4 linked regions of the Schizosaccharomyces pombe genome follow. Changing the gene in region 1 together with any one later gene gives a genetic interaction. Each region holds a gene or a part of one and is shown on either strand. Other genes may lie near its edges. The genes, in order: pof9, arg11, SPOM_SPAPB1A10.08 and atg20.

Evidence for each region.
Region 2: mutations in pof9 (region 1) and arg11 together harm fitness more than expected from each alone (negative genetic interaction), as found in Schizosaccharomyces pombe (one large-scale study listed by BioGRID).
Region 3: mutations in pof9 (region 1) and SPOM_SPAPB1A10.08 together harm fitness less than expected from each alone (positive genetic interaction), as found in Schizosaccharomyces pombe (one large-scale study listed by BioGRID).
Region 4: mutations in pof9 (region 1) and atg20 together harm fitness more than expected from each alone (negative genetic interaction), as found in Schizosaccharomyces pombe (one large-scale study listed by BioGRID).

What each region holds. Positions count from the first base shown.
Region 1 is NC_003423.3:1,869,859-1,873,848, forward strand, and holds pof9 (F-box protein Pof9), read left to right. Parts: upstream 1-1,974; 5' UTR 1,975-1,988; coding exon 1,989-2,353; exon of another isoform or gene 2,354-2,423; coding exon 2,424-3,462; downstream 3,463-3,990. Other genes in the region: phosphoserine phosphatase Ser2, read left to right, coding at 476-1,273, 1,345-1,443.
Region 2 is NC_003424.3:2,269,393-2,274,767, forward strand, and holds arg11 (N-acetyl-gamma-glutamyl-phosphate reductase/acetylglutamate kinase), read right to left. Parts: upstream 3,333-5,375; 5' UTR 3,285-3,332; coding exon 627-3,284; 3' UTR 516-626; downstream 1-515. Other genes in the region: DNA-directed RNA polymerase III complex subunit Rpc2, read right to left, coding at 1-130; ornithine carbamoyltransferase Arg3, read left to right, coding at 4,620-5,375.
Region 3 is NC_003424.3:1,873,613-1,878,364, reverse strand, and holds SPOM_SPAPB1A10.08 (uncharacterized protein), read right to left. Parts: upstream 2,780-4,752; 5' UTR 2,107-2,779; coding exon 1,479-2,106; exon of another isoform or gene 1,407-1,478; coding exon 784-1,406; 3' UTR 501-783; downstream 1-500. Other genes in the region: antiparallel microtubule cross-linking factor Ase1, read right to left, coding at 1-3; SPOM_SPAPB1A10.07C (sphingolipid biosynthesis protein), read left to right, coding at 4,568-4,752. UniProt on the Schizosaccharomyces pombe protein: May have a role in meiosis and sporulation.
Region 4 is NC_003421.2:881,485-886,191, forward strand, and holds atg20 (sorting nexin Atg20), read left to right. Parts: upstream 1-1,887; 5' UTR 1,888-1,907; coding exon 1,908-2,051; intron 2,052-2,109; coding exon 2,110-2,218; intron 2,219-2,337; coding exon 2,338-3,689; 3' UTR 3,690-4,204; downstream 4,205-4,707. Other genes in the region: ubiquinone-binding protein Coq10, read left to right, coding at 1-176; TIM23 translocase complex subunit Tim23, read right to left, coding at 4,617-4,707. UniProt on the Schizosaccharomyces pombe protein: Required for cytoplasm to vacuole transport (Cvt), pexophagy and mitophagy. Also involved in endoplasmic reticulum-specific autophagic process and is essential for the survival of cells subjected to severe ER stress.

The sequences.
Region 1 (3,990 bases):
GTATAACCTTTTAGGAATGAAAGAGAACAATTATTACATTGCCAAATATTTTTTTAGTGCTTTTTCACTTTACAAATATCTCACTCTCTACTTTATGGTAGGCTCTCATTTTTGGAATATTTGCCCTGATATATTGCAATATTTCCAAACATCTTCTTAGTTATGATTTCTTGCTTTATTGCTTTAATGTATAAAAAAAATATTTGCTTATTAACCTGTGTTTGAAAACGGAGTTTAGGCACCACTTTACCAACTTCACAATTTATACAGCATTTTGAAGATAATGATAAATTTGTAAACAATAACAAAAAATAAGCTTGTTTGAGATTTTCAAATAACTTAAATTGACCTAGTACTTGTTGTCGTTTAACGTTAAGCTTAATCAATAGCCGAGTAATTAGTAAATGGGACTTGCCGAAAACAACGCTTTTCAACTTAGAAAATTTAGCAAACCCACTCATACCTTTTAATAAGCATGGTCAACGCAGCCATAGTTGTTTCCTCAAATCGTCCAAATGTGCTTGAACAGATTTCCTCCTTGTTTAGAGATGGGAAGACTCGTTCTCTGGGGGAACAGTGGACTTTAGTATCAGGCCAACTTAAAGGAACGTTTGAAGATGCTAAAGACGCTTGTAACCGCATTTCTGCTACTGAGAATGTAGACTGTAATTGCTTGAGTGAAGCAACATTTTCCACTAAAAAGAAGCTTGTAGTATTTGACATGGACTCGACGTTGATTCAACAAGAGTGTATTGACGAGCTCGCGGCAGAAGCAGGCATCCAGAAAGAGGTTGCTACGATTACATCTCTTGCAATGAATGGGGAAATTGACTTTCAAGAATCACTTCGTCGTCGCGTTTCTCTACTACAAGGGTTGAGCGTCGATGTCATAAATAAAGTCATTGGCAAAATTACTTTCACTCCAGGAGCTAAACAGCTTTGTCATTGCCTTAAGCAAATGGGTGCGACTCTTGTTGTCGCTAGTGGTGGATTTGTTCCAATGGCTGAATATGTCAAGGGACAACTGGACTTGGACTATGCATATGCCAATGTACTTGAATTTTCCGATGATGGTAAATTCCTCACTGGAAAAGTTCAAGGTGCAATTGTAGATGGACAACGAAAAGCTTCCATTTTGCGTGAAAAGAGGGAAGAGTTGGGTTTAAATAAGCTCGAAACGATGGCTGTTGGGGACGGAGCTAACGATTTGGTCATGATGGCCGAATCCGGTTTAGGAATTGCGTTCAAAGCTAAACCCAAAGTTCAATTATTGGTATGTTCGAAATTTTTTTACAAATTTATGTTTTTAATGATCTTACTAACTCGATTTTTTTTTTTAATTAGGCTGATTCGAAAATCAATCTTCCATCTTTGCAAAACGCTCTTTACCTCTTGGGTATTGATGAGCAACAACAAAAAAAGCTATTGGAAAACAAAAATTAATTTAGAATTTCCAAGAATTTTTCAATCGCAAGGCGCTGTCAAGAACTCTGAGCTACTGTGGCTTGGTTTTTATAAAGCAATATTTTACTTGTGCGCGTGGTCTTTTTTTCTGTAGTAGGAGCCGTCTTTTATATACCCTACTTCTTTATTTTTGATACTCTTATTTTTCTTTTTCCTTAATTTACAATTTTGGTATGATCAATGCTTCATTGGAAAGGGTGTGCAATGAATGCTTAAAAAAAAAGGGGCAGTTCAGAAGCTTTCTTCTTTAAAACAGACAAGAATTACTCAATTGGTTTTTATAAAGCCGATCATTTACTCTTAAATCTGCTTCGTTATGCTGATAGACTTTGAAATTGATTCGTGCAATGACTACACCTTCGTTTCATAGACCTTTCTTTATTATCATTTATTAATTGTAAATAATACAATTGTATCTAGTTATTAAGAGTTGCAGAAAACATGTGCTTTTGACGTATTTCAACACCGTTTCCCTTGTATATATTCAGAGGTATTCATATACTACTACCCATGCGAGATTCATTATGGCTAAATCACCATTCCTGGAGCTTTCTTACGATATATTGCTAGAAATTAGTACATATCTTGATTATAAAGATATAGTTCATTTGTCAGAAACATGCAAGTCACTTTCGTATGTTTTTGACGACAAAACAATTTGGCATCGATTTTGTGCACGGGTCCAAGGTCTCACCAATGTAGTCCCAGTTGTTGATGATAATTACAAAAGACCCTATGCTGTATGGAAAGACCGAGGATACGCTTACTCATGGGGGCAACAGATAAGAAACTATTTGGGCCGCGTCGTCAATACAAATCAGTATCCTCGAGATCGTCCTGGTGCATTGACTGGGAAGGACGTTCGTTCTACTATTCAGGTTCAAGTTGGGTAAGCGCATAGATACAGGAATTTATTTGACTGCACTACAATGACTAACTATTCCCTATGCGGAATTTAGAGGTTATGGGATGTATTTATTAAATGAAAACGGAAATTTATATGTTACGGGGGTACCAAACAATGTTGGGCCCGAATTGATGAGAGATTTAGAGCCAATTGTGAAAATCCATGCTGGTCGAGAGTTTTGTCTTGCACTCGGTGAGACGGGACACTTGTATCAAGTATCTCTAAAAACACGAATTTGCTTGACAGATGAACAAAATATGCTATCAGCCTATCGCGGAAGAATTGCTAATTTTAAATCAGGTTGGGACTCGCATTCGGCGTATGTGCCGGGCATTGGCTTTCTTGTCTGGCACACTGGACGAGAAAGTGAAGCGCAACTTTTCCAGCCAGAGGCATCGATGAAGGAATTCGTGCTGAACGATTATGTTCACTGCGCAGGATTCCTAGTGTATACTGTCGCATCACCTCAGAAAAAAGGCGCCGTGTTTCGTTTAGACCTGGACCAAGCTACACAACACACGCTAGGAAGAGAATTGAAGAGGTTCGCTTCGCACGACCCCCATCAAGGTTGGCATTTAGCAGGCAGCTTTGAAACTTTCACATGTTTATCGGACGATGGCAATACTGTTTACATGGGTCATGCTAATACCAAGCAGGTCGATGATGACCCGGTTATCCACGACTTTCTCCAGAACCGAGGAATTAAGCAATTGGCGCATGGCGATCATCATCATCTTTACTTAACAAGCGATCATTCCATATGGTCGTGGGGTGTTGAATTACGTTATTGTGGGTGTTTAGGTTTGGGTTCTCTTCATTTGCAAGAACAGACATCTGATCCCAGCATTGTTTCTGATCCACGCACCGCACGCAACATCGTTTCCATTCCACATCAAATTCACTTTTCAGGAACTTGCTATTCAGTTGCAGCCGGCGGATGGCAAAGTGCTGCTCTCGCCATTTCGGAATCTGTTTTACCCGAAGTCAATGTGCCTCCAATTACAACTTTTTCTATCATCCGACCATCCAGAGTTCCAGCGTTGCGCTTTTTAGCTGCCCCTGCGACTCGGACTTTGGAAAGGGACGGCTAGGTGAAATAGTGATCAACTTTGCTTGGTAAGCTAATTTCCGCGTGCGCACTAGAGAAGGATTTTATTTTGTCCGCTAAGTAAGTGAAATAAATAAATATCTCGGCCACCTCGGACTTCCGAATTTATCTCTATTTTTACTAATTCCTCTAGGTAAGCCAATTATAAAAAAAAGCAGCACAAGGAAAACACAACGGTGATTAAATAAGTGAGAAAATTTTTTTTCCTTCTTCCTGTATCGCAATTACATAAAGTACACACATTGACCAATTTATATTCCTGACCCCTGTGAATTAAGTTACTGTGCTACTACGACGAGTTTTTACCAAACATTATTATTTTTTTTAATTGATTTGGACTGTAAGGAAGGTTACCGATTTTCATATTAAATCCTCGGTGGTCAAAATTTGTTGGGCTCTTGCTCTCTATTTGTCGTTTGCGTTGGTGGTTTGTAATATTCCTAACCACCCCATTTTTTTCTGGCGACCCTAACTTGGGGGTTTTGTTTACAGATCCAGGTGTCGAGAAAAC
Region 2 (5,375 bases), on another chromosome or scaffold:
CAGGGTCTGCAAGCTTTTTGCCCTTATAAACAGGTTTAAAGAGGGCTCCAAAACTCTCATCCTTCCCAATTCCACCTTTATTTATTTTGGGTTGGCTTTTTTGAGGGTCTCCGGCAGTATTTACCCCCATCGAACTCACTTAGTTGATAATGGCGGACGGTAGCAAAATTCCTCCCCAAAAATATACTTATGGAGGAAGCGTTAGTAATGCAAGGATAGAGATTTCTTATTACTTTGGGCTTATTTTTTAAGTAACATATATAATTTTAAATAAAGAAATAAAACTTATACGCAATTAAGATTATTGAAGCTTAACTATTTACCACTTTATTCTACGTACAAAAATTATTTCGTTGATGAAAATCTATACCATAGAAAGCAACTTCAAATCTGTTTATATAAGTTTTGAAGAGTCTGCGACGCACAGACAGAGGAATTTTGTATAACTGAACAAGAACTAAATTAAAATGTGTGGAAACTTAAGATGGTACTCGTACGCGACTTACTGCTGGCTATTTAATAGCAAGGATTAATGCATTTAGTTCAAAATATTTGTAACAAAAAAATATCCAAATGGTACACAGAAAGAATAAAAATAACAAAAGAATGGGCTACAAAAAATATAATCAATCCAAATGGATACCGGCATATTCATCGTAACCACAGGACAGATTGAGATTCTGGAGAGCTTGAGTAGCAGCACCTTTAAGTAAATTGTCGATAGTAACTACAATGACTGCACGCTTTCCAGAAGAGTGCACACCAAAACCACCAACTGAAACATGATGCTTGTGTGCGTTGTCCTTGACCAAAGGTACATCTCCTTGAACATGAATTAAAGGCTCACCATTATAACGGTCTTGGTATAAGTTACGAAGCTCACGGGAAGTTATACTTTTCTTTAACGGAACATTAATAGTTAAAGTAATTCCTTGGAACCATTGAGCAACGTGAGGAATAAAGGCGACAGGTTGCTTTAAACGATAAGAAATTTCACGTTCATGGATGTGATCAGTTAATGAGTAAGGTATCAAATTGTTTGTCAATACATTCAAGTCATTCTTCGGAGAGGGCTTAGTGCCAGCCCCAGAATAACCAGATACACCAAAAATAGAGGGCTGGCCGTCAATCAAAGAGAGTATGGGAGTTAAACCGACTTGCGATCCAGTAGCGTAACAACCAGGATTGGAAATACGTTTCGAGTTACGCAAAGCTTCACGGTCATTTAGTTCAGGAAGACCGTACTGCCACGAGGGCTCAAAACGGTAGTCCGCACTTAAATCAACAATGACACTTTTACCATTTGCAGACGTTAAAGCATCGACATAAGGTTTGCATACACCGTTGGGTAGGGCCATGACCCAAGCATCAACCGCTCCCTCTTCCTCTAATTTTTTAACATCATCTGTGGACAAGTTGACATACTGAATTTCTTTCTTAGTGTAGCCAGGAAGTTTGGTGCCTTCCAACTCACGAGAAGAAACATGAGATAATTCGAGATAAGGATGAGTGTTAATCAATCCAATCAAGTTCTTTCCGGTATAACCACGGGCTCCAAGGAGAACGACTTTTGCTGGCTTCGATGAGACCGCCTTCAAAGGTTTTTGGGTCTTCTGAGCCTCAGCAGAAAAAAATCGTTTTCCACCCTTTAAAAACAAAGAACGATTCATTTTTTTGTTTTTTGAAAATAAAGAACTAGTTGAGTAACTTCGTTTTTGATTGATCTGTGAAGAGGAAGGGTTGTTGGTGGTAGATGAAGCAGTAGGGGGTTTAGTGGATTGGGTCTGAATGATAGCATCGGCAAATGGCTTGTCAGACTGAATGAACTTGGAGATTTTATTCAAATCTTTTACACCGTACCAAAAGTAGTAAAAATTATTAGCAAACAAAGTACCTTCGCTTTTAGAGAAGAACCATTCCAGATTCTTGGCTGAAGGTTGAAGACGCCATAGCAAAGAAGGGAAGTCTGCTTTTAATGTTGTTAATATGCTATCAACAACATTGTTTAACCAATTATTGTCGGCGGCACCAAAAGCTAAGAGTACTGGCAAGGATGAGTCGGTGGTGTCGACAATAGCAACAGATTCATTGAAAGAGTCACTATAAATACGAAGTTTTCTGTCTTTCAGAGTATCCTTGAACTGTTTCAAGCTTTCACTAGGTGCGGCTAAAGAATTTTTTTGAATGATCAAATTTTCTAGAGCAGCGTCTGGAATGCTATCCAACGAGTCATGTTTGTTGATGACAAAACCGCGACTAATCAAAGTACCAGCGCCAGATTCCGTAAAAAGCTCTTTTTGCAAATCCTTCGTACTAATAATGGCTACGGAAGATGTACGGGGAAGAGTATCAAGTAACTCTTTGATTTCTTTGATTTTGAGCTTCGTACCATACTTGACCCATGGTTGCTTCATGAGGCCATCGTACTCCCTATCCAAATAGATGCTGCTAATTTTTTTCTTTGTTTCACCGTTGATAAGTCCACCTTTTTCATTGAGATAGACCACCTTTAGAGGCTTCAATACGCGAGCAAGCTCACCAGCAGTAATGTCGGCGTTGACATTCAACAATTGACCAGAAGCAGTTTCGGCCATAGACGTAAGAATAGGGAGGGTTCCAGCACGAATACTGTGTTCAATAGGAGCTTTGTTTACCTTGACAATCTTGCCAACATACTTGTATTTTTCTTTGTCGAGATACTCTGCCTGAAATACACCACCTGTAATGGGACGAGCACGAGTTCCCAACTTTTCCAAAGCATCTACAAGTTTCGCATTTTCCTCTAAGAAAACTTTACGAGCTACAGAAAGAGTCTCGGCATCGGTGATTCGAATACCATCGCTATACTCGGGTTCAACATTTCTGCTGGCAAGAATTTTGTTTAATTGGGGACCAGCGCCATGCACAACGATGGGATAAAGACCCACATGATTCAAAAAGGCAAGACTTTGTGCCAATGTGTCTAATTCGTCGGTGATAATGGCACCACCAACCTTGATAATAGCGAAACGTTGAGCTTCGAAGGAAGTAAAGTATCGTAGGTATTGCTCAACTTCACGACGGCTTCCGATGGAGGAAAGAATTCTAATGATGGCATCACGATCTTGTTCAATTGGTTTCGCGAGTGGGTTTAACGGTTGTTGTTGACCCGGGGCAAAACTGCCTTGAAAACGTTTGCTTGCAATGACTGATGCATTGGAACATAGTAAGCTCCTTTTCGTACAGTGTTTCGCTCCATTCCGTACAAGACCGGACTTGACAATTTGTTGCAATTCAATAAGCATTGCCAAATTCTAGTGATATTCTATGATTTACTGTAGTTGGTAGAAGGCAGTTTGGTTGGTTTCAAAATTGGAAAATCATTTGCTTCGTAAACGTAGCTATAATTCGTTAAAATTTGATTGCTGTATCTAGGGATTTGCTCTGGAGATAATCACTCAAAAAGATGAGATCGATAATGTTACTTGTTGGCTGAAAATTACATCGGAAACCAACAGTTTACATGAAAGTGCTGCAAACGTGAGACATGGACATTTAATGAATTAAAGCTATATAAATGACACTGTAAAAGCAACTCATTTGCCGACAATGAATCTATTTGTATATACATTATTTAATACTAGTCCTAACTGACACAGTACAATATTCATTATTTCTATGCAAGCCAGTTCAATATCTTGATTTATACATGAAAGCATTCTTTTGAAACAATATTTTGTTTTCTATTTGATTTCGCGTTGAATAGTCCCAATGACCCTGATGAGACAAAAGCACTTATCATAAAATTTATTATCTAAGATAATCTCGTTAAAAAAAAAAAAAAAAAAAAAAAAAAAAAAAATTTGGCAAGAAGCCCTTCTCTTTCGTTAAAACTTGTTTCGCTTTATGCAATACTGTAAGTGTAAGCTTGTAATATAGCGAATCTGTGAACTCATTGTTCATTTCATGGTAGTTGTTGATTTCACAAGCATGCTGAGTTATCAATATAGTAACACAATTGGTTTTATTTCAGCTCGCTTGAATATAGTGTCAAGAGATAATTGAATAAACAAAAAAAATAACTACACGTTTTTTAGATACATTTTATTTACAATGTATTGGTTCTTTAAAGAATGGGTGGTAAATAAAAAAAATATTACAAGGTCGAAAAAAATTCATCCCTTTTCATTAGTTCTATAATTAAATGCTAAACCCATGAATATTCTTTTACTGCTAATCAATTAACGATTTTGGTATTTAAAAGCTATTGCTGATAAGTATTCTGACGTTCTGTATCAATATTACCATGAATAACATAAGAAAAAGAAAGGAAATAGAATGTTTATGAGTAGTTTTTAATTTTTGACTTGTTTTATCATATTTCATCAACGTACTAGCTTGTTTGCAACTGAACTCTAGTGTACGATAATGTAAAAATTTTCCATCTCGTCGAAAATCCGCATACGATATATTACGGCGCCAATCTCGCAGTCTGAGAGAGAACTAGATATCGGCTATATGCAATCTCACCCTGAATATCTAAGAAATTACCAGTAACTTGTGGGTTCCTTGTAGTCGACTACAAAAACCGTATTTTTGATATATTTAGTCGAGAAGAATTATTCAGTTTGCAATTGAAAATGTCTTTCAAAAAATTTCCTCGTCATTTACTATCCATTCGTGATCTTAGTCGCGGAGAGATTGTAAAGTTGATCGATCGGTCTTCTGAAATTAAACAAGCTTATAAGCAGAATTTTCAGAATCGCCGTTCTGTTCAAATGAGTGGTTTGTCGTCTCAGAATGTCGCCATGATCTTCAGTAAGCGTAGCACTCGTACTCGTGTATCAGTCGAAAGTGCTGTCAGTTGCCTTGGCGGCAATGCCATGTTTTTAGGTAAAGATGATATCCAATTAGGAGTGAATGAGTCTTTATACGATACTTCAAAAGTTATATCAAGTATGGTTTCTGGTATTGTTGCTCGCGTAAACAAATATTCAGATGTTGCTACGCTCGCTAAACATGCCTCTTGTCCTGTTATTAATGGTCTTTGTGACACGTTTCATCCTCTCCAGGCGTTAGCAGATTTACTCACTATTAAGGAAACTTTCAAAAGCTTTGACGGTTTAAAAGTTGCATGGGTAGGTGATGCCAATAACGTTTTACATGATTTGATGATTGCAAATGCCAAGGTTGGTATTCATACTAGCGTTGCTAAGCCCAAGGACGTCAACGTTCGCGACGATATTTTATCAATCGTTAACGAAGCTGCGAACGAAAACGGTTCTACTTTTGAAATTGTTAACGACCCCAAGGTTGCTGTTAAAAATGCTGATATCGTCGTTACCGACACTTGGATTTCTATGGGTCAAGAAGCTGAGAAGGAACAACGTCTTAAA
Region 3 (4,752 bases), on another chromosome or scaffold:
CATTGAACCGGTTGATGTAAATGAGCTCAATAAAACGATGTTTGAAATTCAATTAATAGAATATAAAGGAAGATATGAAAACTGTTAAGATGTTGATATATTATAACATAACAAGCAGTACAAGGAATTAACCTTGCATAAAAGCTTGGCACAAAAATGGTGGTTGGATATGGCTTGGCCTGCGAAAGTAACTCAGCATGCGCTTATATTCCAAAGAAAGCAAATAGATTTCAATGTCAGCACTGTATAAACGTTATTCAGCTCCTTTTAGTATAAACAAAATACTTAGAATTGTAAGTTGAAGAATATTTATGTGCCTGAAATATACCAATGTAAGGAAGCACATAAAGTTCTACAAACTGGTATCTTTTGCTCTACCTAAAATATGATACAAGAAAATTCAAATACTGCTTAAAAGGATACAAAGGCTTACTTTTTAAGTCTTATCGTAATCAATATAATTAGACTTATGCATACAAAATATCATCTAAGAGAGAAAAGCATTCATGATTTGTTCAATTCTTTTATTTGCTCATATTCAAAGACAGGATCTAGGACTATGGGAGAATTATTTTATGTAATATTAACCGCAATTGGGATTCAACCCAGTATCGCGAAACCCATTTCCTTTAAAAAAAAAATCATATACAACAAAAAGAAACAATTGTGAGTCGATTGTCCATAAAGACAGTAGGGATAAAAAAGTATTGGGTGAGAAAAAAATGAAAATAAATATAACCAGCTTGGAAGAATGCAAATGTATATAAGTCATGCGTTAAATTTTTACAATTCAACATGCAAAGGGCTAGTGGAGAAGGTAACGGCAGGCTTTGGGAGGTAAATTAACTGGGCTCGGCCAGCAGTGTTTGCTGATAGCTTTCCAGCTCGTCGCATTTGAGCTTCTAAAACAAATACTCGGAAAAAATTAGGATTTAATCGAGGACGTCTGATTTCAGGTTTCACACTTCGCTTTTCCCAGGGTTGAAGCGGGGTGTACAAAGTGAAATTGGCATCTGGCGCACAATCCTCCATCAACCAATCATCCTGAAAAAGCTTGAAATTTTGACAAAGCAAACCATTTGTCAGGTTGCTTTCGCCATGCGAAGATGAGAGATTTAAAATGGAGGCACTTGGATCCAAATGCACTTCTGGCTTGTGAAATACACGTCTGATGATATTACGAGATAGCGACATTATTTTATGCTGTAAAGAAGCTCGAGACTTATTTAAAGATGCTAAAGATGTTTTTTTGGACAACCTAGATGAGTAGAAATTAGATGATAAACTAGAGCCACTCCTATTGCAGGCGGTCAAGTTAGAGGAAGCATCCTTTGATTGTTCCAAAAAAGAGGATTGCTCCTCAAGACTTTTAGAAAGTGGATGGTTATGCTCTACGGGCTCCATAACTATGATATTGTTAGCAACGATGAATAAATAAAAGATAAGAGAAAAGGTTGAAAAATCTTAAAAGAACATACATTGACCTCTTAAACGAGGAACAGATTTGGATTTTTTTAAGTTGTTAATATTCAAGTAAATATCAAGGCTATTTGCGTTTACGAGGTTACAAGAGGAAGAGCTGGGAGTTGCAGGATTTGGCCCCGAATAGTAAGAGTAAGAAGCGACTGAAGACGTTTCCGAAGCAGAGTAGGAGGAGTATTCAGGGAATGAATTACACGAAAAATTCCACAAACAGTCGTAAGAATGAGAGTTGGTAGAAGCAGAACACTCGACAGGTGTAGAAAGAAGAAAGCAGTAATCACCTCTATTAACATCATCATTGTGTAATTTTTTGGACGAAGACAAAAAACGATCTAATTGTGATTTAAGAGTTTTTTTATTAGATAGAGTACTCAAGCGATGTGAAATTTTTCTATAACGATTGGGAACAGGGATCTTGGTTTCACTCAGCAACTGAAAAACGGCGTCTTGCTTTGATGCACAAGAATGGGTATCCTGAGACTGATAAATTAAATCCATCTCACTAGCTTGAGAGCTGCAAAGATTATGATCCCAACATTCGCATTGACAAGTTACCGGAGCTACTTCTGTGAGTGCTTTAGAGAAGCCAATTTCCAATGGTCTTAATTCCATCCGAGTCATCATAGAAAGAAATGTAAAAAGAAAGAAAATATAGCGCCTATATATAAAGCCAATTGATCAAATCCTACCGGTTTCTAATTGCAAAGCAGTTCATAAAGTGAATTAGAAGCTACAATGTTGGAAAGCTATACGACCTTCGAGCTTTCTAAAAATACAACAAACAAACGTTAAAGCCTTCAAAAGACGAATAAAAGGCTCAATTGCTTCTAGTTCTCGTTTTACAGCAAAAGAATGTGAAAACTGATTATCGAATGAAGGCAATTAAATTACACACGTTCACGGGTGATGAAACTTCAGCAGGCTAAAAGCACTAGCCAAAATTCCTGGCTTTTACAAGCAAAGGAATGATTACTGTTGAAAAATAAACCCAATTTTTACAAAAAAACAGCAATCAAGGAATTGTGAAGTAGGGATGGTAAATAGGGAAAGCAAGGAGAATTGCTGATTTTAAAGACCGGAAGAGACAAGTGGTTGCTTGTTTACCGTAATATTACTCCTCTATAGGCGAGAGGATGAATGCCGAAGTCCGGATAAAATTCCGCGGGGCTTGGGTATTGTTGACTTTGCTAGAAATAACCAAAGTATTTTCCTCCTTCACCAGCGTTGCTTATACGTTTTTACGAAGTCTAACAGCAGCGGCAGTGACTGGTTTTGCGCAGCCACGGATGAATGTATTAAGGATAAAGAAAGGACAAAGTGTGGTATAAGTAAAAATGGGATCTATAGGAATAATGATGATGAGATGCGATGAATGATTTGATATCCAAATGTGACTGAGGAAGACCTATACAGAGACGTATGAGAAGATATTTCGGATTTCAAAATCACTTTCTGAATAGCTTTCTTTAAAGAACGAGTCGGAGCTCACCTGTATTCCCAATGGCAAACTTGTATATGCTCTTTGCTGTTTCTCTCAAATTCCCAGTTTGCAGATCCGTATTTACAAGGGCAATTCGGAACTTTGTATTGTTGATATTTGGCAACGCTAGGTTAATTACTAAGGCTTGAATTATCGTTGTTTGTATTAGTAATACGAAGGGTTATGTGACAAACAGTATATGAACAATATGAGTTTTTATTTATGATTTGTATGCTTTCAAAAAAGAAAAAGGATACTGAATATCTTTTCTAAGTAATTGAAATACATTTGAAAATTTTATCGCTATTACATTCTCTCCCCTTCATAGCCGAGTAGTCAGTGTGATAAACGTAAAATAGATTTAAATTAAAAGATAGTCATTTCCCTTACACATTCCGTTACATCAACCGCATACGGATTGGGAAAAGCATATTTCTTTGTTCAGCTAATGGAGGAAAGTCGAGATTTTTTCGTACTAGTAAAATTTCCTCCTATCCAAAACTTAGCATATTTCGTTACTCACTAGTTCTGATGGTAAAGTCACAAGAAAATGGAAGCAAAATTTGTGAAATTAAATTTTCGGCCATCAAATAGGAAAAAGAGCGCATTGGGTCAGTAGGAAAAAAAATTAAAAAAATTACACACACATATACACATAAATGAAGATTGACTTAGTCGGTATCACATTTTGATCAATATCATTTGACACAAAAATTTCATGAAACATATTATTCAATTTGTCACGATGTCTTTAGCTATTTTTTTTTTAACTTGTTTTATTTTACTTGGTTTTAGTGAGATTTTCTTTAGGGCTTTGCTATGTTGAATAGTATACTTACCGGCAAGTGTTCCTAAGCCGAACTTTCCGGCTATAACACGTTAGAGAAGGGTCTGTCAAATCAATAGTAAAGTCCAATCTGCCAAATAAGTGCACGATAATAAGGTTGCAAGTAAATTTTTACCCGATGTAAAACTTCTAATTATTTTGCACTATCAACATCCACGGAACTCACGTGCCTTGCAATCCATGGAGCGAGTCTTACTATCTGTCCATATACAAATATATAATTCATTAAAGAATAAATTAGAACAGCTTTTACATCAGATAAAACGGTGCGTATTCAAATTTATTGCAATCCATCAAGATGCTTAATACCATATAATTGGCTTTTATTTAGCACGTAAAAAATTTTTTCAGTACTTTAACACTACACTGAATAGATTTTAGGGAGTTCTAAAGCAATATAGCAATTCACACAATTAAGTTATAATGTATTACCATATTAAGCGTTGGTAAGCAAAGTAGCGTCGTACGTCTGCGTGTTATGGTTCTACACCCAGAACAAATAGTATAACTACGATATGTGTACATGTATATGAGAAAGTGATATTTAAGGAGTTTACAATTCTTTCTTCCTCTATTATTTTTATCTTTCAAATTATTATTTGTTAATTTTACAAATTTGCTACTATTCTGCTAATTGCTACTTTTTAACCTATTCAGGCATTTGCTGTCGTTGACGAAATTTCTTTACCTGAATATTTTTCTTTGATCAACTGTATTCCGCTTTATATATAAAGATATATCCTAAACGCAATTGAGATATGGGTGCGGTTTTATCTATACCTTTAGCTCTTGCCTCTTCTCTTTCGGGAGTAGTAGGTATTGCTAGCAGTTTTCTTGTTACTTCTGTCCTTAGTTTGACTAATTCCATACAAAGCAATGTTGGAGCGGTGATTAGTTATGCCGTTTTGTACTTTGTAAATTCGTTGCTTTCATGGTGCATGCT
Region 4 (4,707 bases), on another chromosome or scaffold:
AAGAGGCATCTCGGGGACGTGTTCGTGTTGATTTAGAGGTGGATTTTGAATTTGCAAGCAAACTCCATGGCATGATGAGCAAGTTTGTTGGATCTTCTGTAGCTTCTGAAATCATTCAAGGATTCGTCCAACAGGCTAAAATAAAGCATAAGCTAGAATCAGAAAATGAGAAATAATTACAATGATCCTGCATACAAAGGGGCTATGCCGCTATTCTTTCCATCTCAGCGTTTTTCCATCGTCTCTCTTTCAACCAAAGAAGGATATATTTTTATAAAAGGTTTCTTTTAGGAAATCATGGCTTCAGTAAGCTAAATTTTGGATCCTTCTCTTCACCTTATGTATTTATTTTATTTCATTTTTTTGGATACTCGCCAATATCATGGTATAGTTTGCTTTACTGCAATTTTTTTGATGCACAACAAAAAACTTGGTAAATTATTTCTCTACTATTAAATCAAGAGCTTAGGAGGAATTCTCATTTCTTAAAGAAACTTTACTTTGACGAAACTGTATTTTTTTTTTTGTTTTAACAATATGTCTTGAATATGCCTTCCTTTTCTTGAGTCACTGATAACCAAATATATATAATTATAGGGGTGTCTCTCTTTCTATTTAGTGCTGAAATATTGCGGATGAGCTTTGCCTCTAAAGTTGATAACCAGAGATCAGGAGTCCTTGAAGGTCAACTGTTTACAAAATTATCCTTCCTTGCTTTTGAATAGAAGGTGAAATTGGTTATGGAATGCTTCATGAAGATTTGCATTCAAAATGCATCCAGAACAATCACAAGTGTTATTTAAAAGTAAAGAATCCCTGAAGGAAAGAAAAAGTGATCTATGATGATCGTTGTTAAAAAGTCTATCAAATTTGGTCTACTGAGATATATCTAGGGAAAGCAAAATCATTTAAGTAAGACAATTCATGAAATACCCGGAGCACCTTTATAGTCGACTTTTCTTTCGATGATAAACATGACATGATTTCCATTATAGCTACAGAAACGAATTTTATGAAAAACAATCTTGTGTTTACCAACATTTTAATATCGTGCTCTATTAAACTGTGCAATATGCAAATACGGTGTTTGCCGATTTGCATTAACGGGAAGTATTTCTCCAGTAAATAAATGAAGCAAAGTGTTTTTATGTAAAATCCTTTTATCGCTTTTAACTTATAAGGATTTACTTAGTATATAAAGTTGCTGAATGGAGCCTTAAAAGTTCTAGCTGTTTTTTCGTGAAATAAACTATAGCATCACCATTCCATAGGTCCATTAGAAGTTGTGGAAATTATCCATGAGCATTTTTATATAGTGAAATTAGAATAATTTTTATCATTGAAAATAAATTATTAATTTAGTTCATTTCGAGGATGAAAACAAGTTTTATTATAATATACCTCTTATTTATACCGCATTGTTTACATCGCACGATATAACCAAACGAATCCAGTTAACGATAGCTACAACAGCCATCGGTATTAAACTATAGTGATTTGATAAGATGTTTCGAAATATATACTGGATAATATAATCACTGTCCGCTATCATAACCTTAAAAAGAAATCTCCTCTACAACTGCATTACTTGTTTACTGTGATAGTACTAAGAAATTCTCCACGTAAACCAAAATCTATTTTTTTTTCGAAATCTCGTATTTTATATACATAGGTTTCCCCTGTCATTTTAAAGTTCTGATTGTTTCTTTGACCTTATGGAAACCCATTTTACAATGCATTCAGTATAACGCTATCTAATCCATTCTCATATACAGTATAACGTAGTTATAAGTATATTGATTTGCGATCTCTATCATATTACAACGAAATACAATCCAGTCTGCAAAGCCATGACTTATATGACGAACTAGCTACATTTCTTTCTCCATTAAATCGATTAAAGAAGTATGGCACAAGACGATTCTTACGAAGAGAAACCTGAAGTTATATCCAGCGACTCGGGAGGAAGTGGTTATTCAACTGAAATCCAGATCGTCGGTACAGTAACTTCCTCGGACGGTTCGTATGTTGAGTATGAAATTGTACACCAGGTATGTGGCTTGAGATCCTTGGTATCTATGAGTTTAGCTGCTAATTTTTATACTGTAGAAGCGTTCCGTTTGGCGGAGATATTCGGATTTTGAGTCCTTGGTTAAGTTGATGCGTCGGCAGTATCCCGCTGCAATTGTTCCTCCTATACCGGGAAAACAATCACTTTGTAAGTTTTCCAATATATTTAGATATAATATCTTTCATCGCGTTTTTTCATTTTCTTTTCAAACGTTTATTAACATGGGCTGTGTGCAATTCATTGTACACACATGCTCCGCTGTTTAGTAAGTTATGCCAAACATCCACGAAAAGCTAAAAGTGATGCTGAATTCTTAAATTTTCGCTCCAGGATGCTAGAATTGTTTCTTCGTCAGTGTCTTTTGCATCCATGCATTCGTTCCAATCCTATTTTCGATAAGTTTATTCATAGCACTGTTTCTTGGCACGTGACTTTATCATCTTTAGATTTACCAAAGGATTCAAATACTGATCCACTCCGCCTTCCTCCTATTGCTACTGAGCATGACCCATTCGCTCATTTGCGCTCTTCCATGCCACTTGTAATGGCCAACTCATTAAGTCCCCCTTCGTCTCGCGCATTAAAGCCAATCCATTCCTTATCTAATCCTTCAACTGCTTCGAGTTTAGAACCTTCTTCTCCTTTGGGCTCTGAGGATGAATGTCATCCCCCAACAAGCGATATGCAACCTACGCATGAATTGAATGAAAGTCCTTCTACCCCAACGGCACCAGACTTTCCACATTACAATAGCTCACCTTCGGAGTTATCTCCCACACAGCGTCGTTCCAGCATTTCTAATGGTAAAGACGCACCCTCTCCAGTACTCAAAGATTTGACTTCCTATACTCAAGAAGTGATTGTTTGTCGGAAATTCCTTCATCATAGTCTGAGTCCTTCCATACATTCAACTTTATCTAGTATTTCTAAAATGGAGTCTTGCCTTTCAAAGTTAGGATCGGCATTTCACTCTTTGACTGCTCTCAATGAAATACAATTAGCAAATCATTTGCAAGTGATTGCTAATGCCTTTGAATTCAGCGGAATGTACGCCAAGGAATTCGAACAAGAATTTAATTCCTCCGTCTATGAAAAAATGGTTCAGTCTATGCAGCTGGCGAAGTGTGCCGCAGATGCTCTTAAGTATAAGCAATTGAAGATACAACAGCGAGATTTTCTTCAAGACCAGCTCATCCACTCTAACACAATGTCTGCTACCGACTCTATGGTAGCTGCTTCACCCACGATACACCCGGCGACCAGATTGAATACTATTCAACGAGCAGTTGTCTCCCAAGCCAAAAAGGGTTACACAATTTTTGGTCGCTTACAAAACGTTTTACATGACTTTGTAGAAGGTGAAACCTCCATTAGCAAAGAAAGTCTCCAGCAGCATAAGAATACCATAGAGAATCAACTAGCGGCTGCAAATTGGGATTGTCAAAAAATTGACGAATTCATGGATGCAGAGCTTAAATTCTACAAAGAATGTCAGACGTCGCAGTGGGAAGAAATAATTAAATCTGTTCATGAATGTATCTACAAATGGGCACAAACAAATTTACAACGATGGTTGCGAACTCGTGAAGAACTCGAAAATTTATCGAAGGACATATAAGTACGTTGGGTAGGTTTGCTTATAATTGCATTCCGAGTCTTACATACTTTGTATTTTATTTTAATTTCTGCATACATCCTTTTTTATGTTTCTTTTTTACGATTTTGTTAATGACTAATAATACCACATGACAAGCCTTAACTATGAAAGTCATATTTCCCTTGGAAGATCTATCGCTTGGATAAATTTTTAAGGTCGAGTACATTTTATTAATGAAAAATTTATTTAATGCTATTATAGATTTAGAAATATTAATAATACTAAAGCATACAATGAAAGCTGTTCTTCTTTGTGAATATTCATTGTTCCTCCTCTTACCTTTTTATCAATATGTACCGACAAATCGTTTAAATCCTTTCATTTTTCTCTCTACCCTTTTTCTCTTTTTTTGTTAGTTAAAGTGTGCTCGAATAGAGCCATTTTACGAATTACTTGAATAAACAATTACTTAACAAGAACTTTAACCTTCTTTCCATATTGATCACGTACAAAAATACAATGTAATAAAAAGCTGTGGGATAAAAATGATACAAAAAAGTGATATTTATGTCAAAATATGAATGTACTGTTCAAATAAAAGGATTCCAACAAAACAAAATGTAAGAACCCGTATGTTTGTTCAGTAGTTTTATTCCTTCCCTTTGCGAAAAGGAGGTAGGATCAAGGATTCAGAGATATTACAAATGCGAGGAAAAAGAAACGCAGTCAATTCTTTTTGACAGAAGGGTGTTGATAGAATTGAATTTTTAGGAAAATCAAACGACATAAATGAGATGAATAAAACCAAAAGACATAAATCCATTGTCGGATTTACAAATTAGGGAAAAAAGGGTCCGCACAAGAGTGAGAGAAAATGAGTGTCATAAAAGGAACACCTAACTCACATTATCGTACAAATTTTATAACCAAAAGTTACAAAAGAATTTTTTAATTAAGTCGCTTAGTGAAAGAACGCTTTGCAAGGGTCCAAATGCCAGCTGCAGTGGCTACAAGCGAACTACTAATAGCCATAGCACGA